2 linked regions of the Caenorhabditis elegans genome follow. The protein of the gene in region 2 interacts with the protein of the main gene of each other region in a pairwise test. Each region holds a gene or a part of one and is shown on either strand. Other genes may lie near its edges.

Region 1 (7,470 bases), on a different chromosome or scaffold from region 2:
CTTAAATTTCTATATTTTGAAATGTCCCATACTTTTAAAATAATCACATATTTTTATTTCACTTAAAGGTGGACTACACCCTGTGGGAAAATTGCTTTAAAACACGCCAAAGGGGTCACAATGACCGAATATCTTGATAAAAAAATTTTTAAAAAATTTTCTAGATTTTATATGATTTTTTGAAAATTGAAAAAATCTCAGTTTTCCCCTAATTATATTTGAAATTCCGCCAATTGAATTCGTTCGTTGGAGCGCGCTTGCATTATTTTCGTTAATTATTTTTATTTATTTTCATTATTTCACTGATTTTCTCCATTTTTTGGGGGTTTTTCATTGAAAAATAAAAGACATAAACAAGAAAAATGGAAAATGTTTATTAAAAAGTAACTGAAAATGCCTAAAACTCTAGAAATATGCGATCCGACGACGACGATACTGAAATTGGCATTATTCAGAGTTTTAGGCATTTTCAGTTACTTTTTAATAAACATTTTCCATTTTTCTTGTTTATTTTTTTCATTTTCCGATGAAAAACCCCCAAAAAAAGGAGAAAATCAGTGAAATAATGAAAATAAATAAAAATAATTAATGAAACTAATGCAAGCGCGCTCCAACGAACGAATTCAATTGGCAGAAATTCAAATATAATTAGGGGAAAACTGAGATTTTTTCAATTTTCAAAAAATCATATAAAATCTAGAAATTTTTTTAAAATTTTTTTATCAAGATATTCGGTCATTGTGATCCCATAGGCGTGTTTTAAAGCAATTTTCTCACAGGGTGTAGTCCACCTATAAATTGTGAGTTGTTGCGAAATACAAACTAAATTTTGGTACTATTCTTTTTCTACCCCGAATTTCTTCTGCAACATTTTCTTTAATAAAAACGTGACCTTTTTCTGTAGTTTAGGCTTAGTAATGTTGCTTTCTAAGTCTAAAAATAAATAAAAAAATATTTAAATAAACATTCACGTGAATTAAATTTGAATAATTCAATGCTTCCAATACTCTAAAAATTGCGGGGTAGAAAAGGAAAAGTACCTAAATTTTTTGTTGTCTTTCACCCTATACGAAATCTGTTCAACTTTTCAATTTCCAACTTGAACTTGATGTTTTCTGTCAATCCCAGTCCTCTAGTAATAACTGTTATTCGAAGAAAGTTTCATGCTGATTATATTTTTTTTGATAAGTTTTCTGCGTATGTGACTTTTCTCACAATTTTTTTCGGGTAACGATTGTTGGTCAGTGCACTTGGCAGATCGTTGACTTTTGGAATTTGGCCCAATTCATTGTTTTCCTATTTTAACGAGATTTTGCACTGAGGGCATACATAGACATTGTGTTTGCAAAGCATCAAACTAAAAATATAGTGAAGAAGAACCATATTCCAAATAGTCTGCACTTGCTGAAAATTCCCATTTTTTGATTATTTTTCTGTGGAAAATGTTTTGTTTCTGAAAGTCGTTTTTTTGAAAGTGAATATGATGAGAAAAATTTTCCACGTGGTCCGGGTTCGTTATAAATCTCCATCTTTTTGATTGAGAGGGCGTATCTTGAGGCCTAGCCTTGTATCTCTGATAAATAGGTTATTTTTTTGGTAGCAATTTTTAGTTTCACTCTAAATCGGTAACTTTTTATTCAATAGTTAAGCTTTGGAACTCTGAAGGCATTTTAGATGTGAGGTAGGTTAGGCAATTTATGCAAACGCGTTCTGTTGGAACGCTCATGACGTTAATTGACTTTTTTGCTCATGACGGAAAGTGACGTGTAGTCGAGAAAGAACGTGATACCTTTAAAAAAGTCTCAAAACCAAGTACACATTTCACTTCTCTTGGAACAGTTGCTCCCACTACCCAATATTTTCCAGACTTGTCAGAAAAGTACCGATGAGAAGAATAAAAAACAAGAAAAGAAATCGAGAAGAAAGAAATAAGATAAAGACTTTTCCCTTTTGCTCGCTGCGTGCTCCTACTCCTCTACCAAGTGAGAGAGATATAGAGAGTCGGAGTGAATGTGTGTACGTGAGCATGAGCAGAAAGAAGAAGCAACGACGGAGCCAAGAGCCCAAAGGCCCCCGCAGCCGCCCTGCTCCCCATGTGTCGTCGCGCCAACAGATTGATTCAGAGTCTGTCCATCTTTTTCCCTTTTTTCCTATTTTAACTGCACGTTGCTGCTCCTCTTGATAAGTCCTTCTAGGCCCCCCCCCCCCCCTCCTTTTCTCCCGAGTAGACAAAACTTTTTTACGAGGGTCCCCCATCTCCTCACACTGCGGTCGCCGTATGTAGAAAATGGGCTTCTCACTTTCCATGCTCATCGACAGTTTTGAAGATTTAGACGGTGTGATTCAGGAGATCAAGTTTCGATTGACTAGGTTCGTTTGCAGTGGGCCCCCCTCTCCGACTATTGTTTGTTATTGTGTGAGCGATCTTTAATGCTTTACCTAGTTCTTCTTATTTTCTGTCAACATTATTTTTTTGCTCTTCCAGAAGGTTTTCTGCTTTATACTTTTCTATTTCAAAGCATTGCTGCTCCTAGTAATAGTTGAAGTGACACTGAATCACCTGAAATTATTTCCAGGGCGCCGATGGAAATGGGGCGCGAACGAGAATGCTGCGTCCTCTCCACATCGCCGGGCTGCCGCCGAGCCGCAAGCTTCCCCTTTGTCGGCGACTCCTCAATAATACAGGCATCCAGTTTGAAGGTGTGTTTAATTGCTAAAAGAACTTCTAGAATTGAGTGGTTTTCTCTCGAAAAGTAAACAAATTCAAGCTTATGAACATTGATTTTCTGAAAAAAGCAAGCATGTTAATTGAAAACACTTTTCTCTCTGCCAGAATTGGTTTTTCCATTAAAAAAAGCCAGAAAATGTTGTCCGAGTCCCCCTGGTTCCTTGAATATCGCCGTGCCGAACTAAAATGCACTTTTTAAGCTGGCGACGTGCAAAAACCGAATACGGGCCAGAGTTAGATGGGCGAGAAATGTAAGTGGGGAGCCGTGACGATGTGATGGGTGCGGGGAGAGCGCATCAAAAACATAGATGATCAGAGACGCAGAGTAAAGATGAAGCCTGAGGGCTTCGGGTGAAGAGAAAAAAAACAAGGCACAACACACACTGCGAAAATGTAAGAAATAAGATGAAGAAAAGTTTAGTCTTTTCGCCATTTTTGAAAATCAAAGTTCAAATGATCAAAATTATTGTTTTCGATACGGATTCGTCTAATCTTGAACTTTTGGCCTCTGTGTAAAACGGAAGTTCTTTAAAGATATACTTCTTTCAAGTCTTAGAGCTTTAAATACGCAGTTGTCATTTTCAATTTGAAATTTACTTTGATTCTGGAACGAAGTTTTAATTTGATAACGAATTGGACAAGATTGAACTTCATAGATGTTGTTTTTTCTCACTTTTTTTTTAACTGCCCACTTCAGTTATTTTCCAATTTTGTAAAATGTGGTCCAGAAACAGATGTTTGTGAATTTTCATTTAATTGAAAACGTTTTGATTAAGCAGAGCGAAAAATGTTTATTTTTAACAATAAAAAGTTTTAAAATGATTTTATTCAACAAAGTTCAAAAATTGTGAAAAAATCGCCTTCTTGTTACTTTTTTCTATACTTTCATTCCCCATCCTCCCTGCAATAATCAACAACTCCCAGCATTTTCACTAGTCAAAGTTCAAAAGATCACTATCGACATCACATTTTGCTTTTGAAATTGAACTTTCAACGTGCCCAATGCGAGAATGTTTATCGTGATTGGAGACTGGTTTACGGTAGCTTTTATCGTCAGAGATAGCCATGCACTAGTCTTCATTTAACTTGCCATAAACAATGACTCTCTTTCACCCTTTGATTTTACATTTCCATGCAGCAAAAAAAAACAAAAAAGACAAGAAAATCTATCAATTTTCTTTTTTTCAGGTCCGCTCCAAGAGCGAGTCGGAAGCCTTAAACAAGATGCGATTGACACAGATGAACTTGGAAACGGTTCGCAAACGTCTGTCCGAATCGACAATTAAGGAGAAAGGTATAATTTGATTGTGTAATTGGAACTTTTTGTTAATTTCATGTCGTTCCAAATCACTCTTAATTCGCTATAAATAGATTTTATATTTGTCCTGCAACAGCTATTGTAAGAAGTTTGCCGGAGTGGACTATGATGTAGTCTACAGTACACCCAAATAGATTTTGTCAGGCAGACGAAGAACGCACAGATCAAAATTTGTTACATTGCTTTTGCATTGTATATAGTGTGTACGATAACTCAATTTTGATCCTGATCTTTAAGCTTTGGGTACTAGGCTTAGACGTAGGCTCAGGTTTTGGCTTTAGTTGAGGCTTTAGCTTAGGCTTAGGTTTAGAGTTAGGCTTATGCTAAAGGCTCCCACTAGGCTCCCGCTAACTAGAGCTTAGGCTTAGCCGCATACTTGAAGCCAAACTGCCGAGACTTTGAATCTTCGGGCCTTCTACGATTCTAGGTCTCTAGACATCTAGACATATAAGCTTTTGAGCTTGTAGACTTTCAGCCCAAATCGTTACCCTTGCACGTAACTCTACAAAAGAATAGTATTTATCGACTTGTTTACAGACACATAGTCAATTTTATGGTTTGTGAACGCTCTGTTTGCAACAAAAAGACAAATTGATTTTGATAACAAAATCAACTTGCAAATGTACTTATTGCATTTGCCTACCGTATACCTGACACTGTACGGAACTGAAGAAACTTGCTTCCTAGTTTATCATCTTTTTCTAGACAGTGGGGTATGAAAAAGGTGGAGTCCGGATATTGTTGGCCTTCTTTAGATTCACAGACATACATATTTCTAGTTTCTTAAAATAGGCTCATTGATTATGCGTCAGCCTACGAGTAAGCTTCCATGAGGAATTTAAAAGATTTAAAAGATCCGTTTTATTACTTTTTTTTTGATAATGTTTCATAGTTCCAGATGAAGGAAGCGACTACCAATCGCACAGTTCATCGAGCAGCGAATGCGAGGTCGACGATTTGGAGCTCTTCTGTGCGGGGCCTCTCGAATTGAAAGAGGAAGAGAAGTTGCGCAAATCGGTACGATTTGCCGACGACTGCGGACATGAGCTCTACATGGTCCGCGTGGCGACGGAGCCCAGCAATTGCCCACCGAAGCTGAGTCCTTCTGTGCTCCGTCGCTATCGGGGAGAATCGTTCGAAGAAGAGGAGATGACTACTCGCGAGCCGGCTCCTGTCTGGAATCTGATGTTTAAACAGCCTGCAGCGGATTATGTTCGTTTTCGGGAAAACATGGAAACTGTTAGTTTTATTTTTAATTTTTTGGAATTCGCGTTATGATAGTAAATAGGAATTGTTTTTCAAAGTAGCACTAAAATCGATTTAAAAAATGTAGGGGCACCATAGATAAAATTCAAAAACATTCTGATTTTCTACATTAAAAAATATAGTTGAAGAGAGACAGCTTGCTGTCATGTTCAGAAAAATATTAGTGTGATCAAAGCTCAACGGGAGGTAGCAAAAATTGTCGAAAACTCGTATATCAAAAGTTAGTGAATTCTTTGGCAAACAAGTAAGTTTTTTGAATTTTGTGAATTTGATCACCGTATTTCGAGAATGATCTTACTATTTTAGACAATCATTGATCTTAATGCTGAATACACTGGTGCCAAAACATTTGTTATATCTGAAATGTTAATTTTCTTTGATTTGTATAAACCTTTTGACTCAAAACTTTTTAATAAACCACTTATATATTATTTTTACTTATATTCAAACTTGAATTTTTCCTTACAGAACAAAGTGTCGCTGGAAAATGTGATCTTAAACAATGAAGCATACAAAGTGATGGGAACAATCAAAGTGGGCAATATTGCATTTGAGAAGAGCGTTTTTGTGCGATACACAATGAATGGCTGGATTTCGTATATGGATAAAGCGGCGATATACCAACCATCCACCAGCAAAATTCAGGACACTTTCAAATTCGACCTTGACCTGCCCTCTTCTGTGGAGAAGGTGTGCTCATTTTCTTAAGTATTTTAGTTTCGAAACTTGCAGTTACAGATCCACCAAATTGAGTTTTGCATTTGTTTCAAAGCGAACGGCACCGAATACTGGGACTCTAACTCGGGTACAAACTACGTGTTGCACTGCGAGCAGCAACAGCATCCTGCCGTTCCACAACAACGTCGCGCGTCGTTGTTCGGCAGGTGAGAATTGTATAATTGAAAAATTATTGATTTTCTAAATTTGCATTGAGTTTAAAATTGTTTGTGAGGCCCTGTTAGCAACTTTCATTGCATAAGTAGCTTACCTTTGGTACAAAAGATCATCAATCAAAAGCCTATTAAAAGCCTTTCAGACCGCATATTCTGTAGTTGTATTCCAACCGAATTAACTGGTGCTACTCAAATTACAAAGTGAGCAAAAAGTGTTGTCTGTTTACTTCTCAATTTTAGCTCCTGATATCAGAAGACTGCTTCTATCTTGATCAATTTTTAACGTTTTACTTAAAATTAAAACGTAACAAAAATAAGTATGAAGATTTTGTAAACTGAATTTTTTTTGATAAGCTGAAAGACACCCAAAGTGCAAAAAAGTTGATTTCTATTTCGAAAATAAAAATATATGAACATTGATTTTCCAGTTCAAAATATCTCGACCGAGATGACGCCTACAAGCTCGACTACAACGATTGGGGAAAATTCGCCTCTTGGAAGGCGCTTAGCACCGATGGTCCGTACTGGTAGTTTTGCTCCCCCATATACATATATCAATATTTGCCTTTTTCATCCTCCTTCATTATCCCACATCCCCACCTCCCAACACATATACCCACTTTTGTTTCTACTACTACTACTGGTACGATTTCAAAGTGCCCGGGTATAGGAGATCAGTTCATTTTATTACTCTCTTCTTCTTTTTCTTCTTCGGTTTCTTTCTTGCTATTTCTCTTCTCTATTTCATCATCTCGCTTAGCCAGATTTCTTAAAAATTTGAATTAGAAACCCCCTTCACGACTTAATCTTTTCATTTGATTCATCTTCAAAAATGCGTGTGCCTCCTCGTGTGTGTGCTAATTGCCATATAGAGATTTTCCGCCATCGTAGTAGCTCAAAACGTTTTTTTTTCTCTTAAATAGGGTAGATAGGGAAGCTTACCCTTATGTCTATAAGCCCCCTCATTTGAAAGAGCATTTCGCCTTCCCCAGCTTGCCATTATTGTTTGGTTCACCTCCGCATAGGGTACAAATAATCCGGTATAGACACCTCGCCCTCATCACCACTTCCCGCCACACTTTTTCTCTCTGAGATCGTTGTCTTTGTTACCATGTCCTAATCATTTCAAAGCGCCTATCACAACATCCAAAAGGTGCAAAAACTTCGCCCCTCCTCCTCCCATTATTTGCAATCGGTAAAAGAAAAACGGTCGAAAAAATTACACAAAACAAAAAACACCCGCCCCGCCCCCGCCCAACCCAATG
Region 2 (5,174 bases):
TGAAATGACGTATACCTAATATTTTTTATTTTGCGACGAGAAAAAACTAAAAGTTATCTTATGTTTGATACTATGTATACATTCGTATGCAGAAGCCAAAGATACGTTAACCGGCCTTGACACGACTCGTTGCTACGGAATTTTTTATCGAATTTGTAAGAAAAACTATAAAAAATTTATGTAAACTCCACACATCGAAAGTTTGGAATTACAGTACTATTTAAAGGCTCACATTCAACAAAAACTTGTCGTGTCCAGACCCAGTACCGTTTTTTGGCACGAATTTTCGCGTCTGGGTAGTACTATAAGAAAAACATTCGTTAGCGTTCCGAATCTATTAAGATTTTATCTATCTTTGAAAATAATTGCATAGTTTCGATGTTTGCAGCGCTTTAGAAAACGGAAAAATCCGTTAAACGGTTTTTTAAAGGAGATTTTTTGAAATTCGATTTTTTTAACTTTTAGTTTTGAAAAATCATTATGAAGTAACACTTTACCGGCTGTTCCTCTTCTGGTAGCGGTTGTGGCTGTGTTTGTTGATGTTGCTGTTGAGGGCGTTGATGATTCTTCTTGTTCTTCTTTTTCGGGCCCCCAACAGAGTTCGCGTTTGGCGGCATCTTCTTCGAACTGTGCAGATTATCGATTTGTTCAGAAAATGTGGTGAAGAACAGAACACAAACAGGAACAGATAGGATAGAACGAATGAGAAGAGAGGACAACAAAAAAAAGAGAAAAAATAATCAATAGGAAGATGTGAGAAGATAAAACAACAGAGATTTTGTTTTTCTCAAACTTTCAGGTAGATCAACGATCTATGAGTGTCTGATCCGACAAAGGTGCATTGTTACCAGTGACAGAAAAGCGGCAGAAGAATCGAAATCATGCCCTTCTCTTTCTCTCTTTTCACTTCTCACGTGTGCTAGACATGACATGGGGAGAAAACGACAGAAACTGCAGTTGGTCACGAGGGACTAGAGGGAACAGGCGACGCAGAGAAATGGAGGGAGTTGTGAGGAGGATGGAGAAGAAGGCTTCCATGAGCACCACACTTCTCGCATCTTTTTTGCTGATTTTTCTCACTCCAACTATTTTTCTTTTTTCTTATTTCTTATTGAACTTGACTAGACATCAATCGATTTTTTTAAATGCTCACTGCTCATTTTCTAACTAATGCTTCAATATATTTTCTGAACGAATTCATGGATGCAGAAGTACCAAAGTGTTCATATATTTCTAGCTAAATAATATATAACTTTTGAGTACTATAATAATCTCATATTTCAAAATGATTCATAAGTAAAAGTTTTATCAAAATATGCTAAATAAACTTCTTATAACTACGTTTTCATCTATTAAACTTTCACTTAATAAGATTTAATGCATCTTGTTCCCCATGTTTTTGCATCTGATCATAATTGCTGACAAATCGTGAACGAAGAACAGTGTATTTGTTATATTTACACATTTCAATCTCTCACCACCAACCAATTTCTCTGCCATCTTGGTCGAAAACAAAGTGACGAATTGGCGCATCATTCGATTATATGTGCCCCGTTTTTGACAAATAGTGAAAATTTCAGGGAAAAGAGAAACTTTAAGCTTTATCTTCTAAATAATGGTAGAAATATTTTCCTCAATGTAAAATTCAACTTTCAAAGCCCTCTAACCAAGTTAATCCTTTTCGCGCGCTCTTTTTCAATTCAATACTAATGAAGTTCTGAAAATTTGAACGTCCCCTTTTTTTTAATTTTAACAAGAAGAAAAAATGTAGAAAAACAGATTCAAAATCATTAAATTAGCGGATAAATTCAGAAAAAATGAGAACATGTAAAAGCGCTCCACCGGCCACCGTACCCTGCTGAATGCGGCATTTTCGCGGCGAGACCCGCCACTCTTTTCATTCGTTTTGACCCTGTCGCCTCCAAATATCTTTCGATTTTTGACATGTTTGCTGCTGTTTTTATCAACTTTTCGAGTAATCACGCGATTTAAAGACGTAATTATCAAACTTTCTTTCTAAATTTTCCGTATTTTCACGTTTGTTGATTGACATTATCTCAAAGAGGTAATTCTATTCGTATTGCAGATCTAATTGGGTTGTTTGAGCGATTTCTCGCAACAAATGGACGTAGAAAAGCTTAATCTGGACAATATCATCTCCAGATTATTGGAAGGTATGTGTTTGTCATAGTGTTTATTGAAATTAATCTTAAAATGATTTCCGCTTCAGTCAGAGGATCCAAACCAGGGAAAAATGTTCAACTCACAGAGAGCGAGATCAAGGGGTTGTGCCAGAAGTCTCGTGAAATTTTTCTGAGCCAACCTATTCTTCTCGAGTTGGAAGCTCCGTTGAAAATTTGCGGTAAGTTCTATCGAAAAAAGTTGACGTTTCCTGCTATGAGTCATTTTACTTATTAGTATTTCCTTCCACAGGAAATTGCCGTTTTTATTTTTGATAATATATATTCTGAGAAAATATATTTTTCAGGTGACGTGCACGGACAATACTACGATCTTTTGAGACTGTTCGAGTATGGTGGATTCCCCCCAGAGTCGAACTACTTGTTCCTCGGCGATTATGTGGACCGAGGGAAACAATCGTTGGAAACTATCTGTCTCCTACTTGCATATAAAATCAAGTACCCGGAAAATTTCTTCCTGCTCCGAGGAAACCACGAGTGTGCCTCGATCAACAGAATTTATGGCTTCTATGACGAGTGTAAGAGTTTGATCTGAGATTATCTTAGTACAGATTTATTCAAATCTCATGTTTTTAGGCAAGCGGCGATACAACATCAAACTGTGGAAGACGTTCACCGATTGCTTTAACTGCCTGCCAGTTGCCGCCATCATCGACGAAAAGATCTTCTGCTGTCACGGAGGACTTTCTCCAGATCTTCAGTCTATGGAGCAAATTCGTCGTATCATGAGGCCGACAGACGTACCAGATCAAGGATTGTTGTGCGATCTGTTGTGGTCAGATCCTGATAAAGTTCGTTTGTGAACATAAAATTCAATGAATGATTACCATTTATTTTCAGGATGTCACTGGCTGGGGAGAAAACGACCGAGGCGTCTCTTTCACTTTCGGACCAGAAGTTGTTGCCAAATTCCTGCACAAGCACGATTTGGATTTGATTTGCAGAGCTCACCAGGTATTACTTAAGATTTTCTGCAAAGTTGCGAACCGAGAAATTTTCAGGTTGTGGAAGACGGTTACGAATTCTTCGCTAAGCGGCAGTTGGTTACATTGTTCAGCGCTCCTAATTATTGTGGAGAGTTTGATAACGCGGGATCGATGATGACTGTCGATGAAACACTGATGTGCTCTTTCCAGGTAAACATAGCGGTACCATCTATATAATTTTAAATACTGATAATGCGTATGCATTCACCAATGATGCAATGGTTAAATCAGACGAGTCTATTTTGGCTATCTATTCGAGTTCTTCGAAGAAATTGCCGCTAAGCGGGGTGAAATTGAGGCATTTGTCTGAGGTGATTTATTAAACGCTAAAACTACCTATCAAACATTAAAATAAAACAATTCGGAATATTTTTTTCAGATCTTGAAACCAGCAGACAAGAAGAAATATCCATATGGTGCTGGAGGAGTTGGTTCAAATAGACCAGTCACCCCACCACGAAACGCACCGGCTGCGCAACCAAAGAAGGGTGCCAAGAAGTAATCATCAGTCGATTTATCTATCATCTGTAAATACCTAACCTTTTCTTTGTTGTTCACGCCCCAAGAGGCCTCGGCCATCTCTCGTAAATCGGCTTCAAAAAGTTGTGTACATTAATTTTGATTTTAAACATAGTTTCGAAAAAGTTTAAATTCGATTCATTATGATCTAGGCTGGCACGAGAAGATGCTGTGGTCCCGGCGAATCTCCTCTCAATTCAAGCTTTCGTTGTCAACATCCCTTCCTCTTTATCTCTGTGGACCATTTAGAGCTAATGACTCCTCACCAATTGCTGGCTCAATTTTTCATCAAAACAATCCCCATTTTATTCGTTTTTAAATTCCAAATTTTAATTTTTTTTGCTAAACTTATCTCTTAAAACAGTATCAAATTTTACTTCTCTAAATGGTCTAAATATTTAAAACAAATGTTTATGATGTCAATCAATCTCCACTCCTTTCCTTCCTCCATTCATTCGTCCATCCCGTACTCTTCGTTTCTCAATTTTATATTGTTAAAACCCCCATTTGTCGATTTAATTCATTAAAGTTTTCCGAACAAATAAAATAGAACACTGGTACAAGCGTGTAAGCAATATTTCTTATTACAACGAGTGCAACGTCTCCAAGGAGAGCGTGCGAGACGAACAGACATCCCCCACGACTAGTGCTCCTCGAGCCGTCTCATCGATTTCTGTCGTTTGTCAGTTATTCAGAAATGCTCCGCCCCGGCTCTTCAGTAAGCTATAATAGGTAATCAGAATGAAGAGAAATATTTTTTGAGTTTTTTCGATTGATTTTCCGTGTTTAGCTCAATGAATCAAGTTTCAATAGATGCACACCCGTCAGATCAGGCAATTATTGTACGATTTGAACAATCTCCTAGTAAGTTTTATATTTTTATTTTCAATTGAATGTGTTACGAAGATTATTTGGAAGTTTGATTCAGGTTCTTCAGCAGGAATTTCAATAAAAAAGCGAGCTTCTTCAGCGAACGTTGAGTCTCTTGGCCATCAAAAAATGTAAGAATCTGATATAAAATATAAAATTAAACTGGAATGCAAATCTGCTTAACAAGAAAAATAAAATAAAATATTTTTAAGACCGTATGCCCACGAAGGTGCACGTATTCTTTCGGATGGGTCTCACCGCGAAAAATGTTTATGGTAACACTTTAAATTTTTTCTGTTGCAAAAACCACAATCAAGATACAGAAAAGTTATTTAATAATTGCTCACAAAACCCCGAATAACAGAAAACGCACGACCGAAAATAGCAAAAAGTGTTGACTTGAGCATTTTGCTCGCTGTGAGACCCATTCCCCATGAATCCATGCCTCTTTAATTTTTAGAATATTGGAAAATAACTGATAAAAAATAATAATCGAATATATATATATATGAGAACCTCAAAATGTCACCTGCATCTAACATTGTACGGCTACAAAATTACCCAAATTGTATTACAGAATCCACTTGAAAGAAATGAG

What was found. Proteins that work in one complex are often made in the same cells at the same time.
Region 1: the proteins of gsp-2 (region 2) and H18N23.2 interact in a two-hybrid assay, tested with the Caenorhabditis elegans proteins (one large-scale study listed by BioGRID).

What each region holds. Positions count from the first base shown.
Region 1 is NC_003284.9:17,623,082-17,630,551, reverse strand, and holds H18N23.2 (Protein phosphatase 1 regulatory subunit), read left to right. Parts: upstream 1-2,305; coding exon 2,306-2,370; intron 2,371-2,576; coding exon 2,577-2,700; intron 2,701-3,916; coding exon 3,917-4,022; intron 4,023-4,944; coding exon 4,945-5,285; intron 5,286-5,780; coding exon 5,781-6,002; intron 6,003-6,050; coding exon 6,051-6,196; intron 6,197-6,633; coding exon 6,634-6,736; downstream 6,737-7,470.
Region 2 is NC_003281.10:7,334,501-7,339,674, forward strand, and holds gsp-2 (Serine/threonine-protein phosphatase PP1-beta), read left to right. Parts: upstream 1-2,086; 5' UTR 2,087-2,122; coding exon 2,123-2,174; intron 2,175-2,230; coding exon 2,231-2,362; intron 2,363-2,488; coding exon 2,489-2,719; intron 2,720-2,777; coding exon 2,778-2,992; intron 2,993-3,041; coding exon 3,042-3,155; intron 3,156-3,202; coding exon 3,203-3,337; intron 3,338-3,391; exon of another isoform or gene 3,392-3,502; intron 3,503-3,566; coding exon 3,567-3,689; 3' UTR 3,690-4,265; downstream 4,266-5,174. Other genes in the region: F56C9.10 (BCAS3 WD40 domain-containing protein), read right to left, coding at 498-617; kap-1 (Kinesin-associated protein), read left to right, coding at 4,501-4,570, 4,635-4,707, 5,154-5,174. UniProt on the Caenorhabditis elegans protein: Serine/threonine-protein phosphatase essential for chromosomal dynamics during meiosis and mitosis. During meiosis, promotes chromosomal cohesion and germline immortality via a small RNA-mediated genome silencing pathway.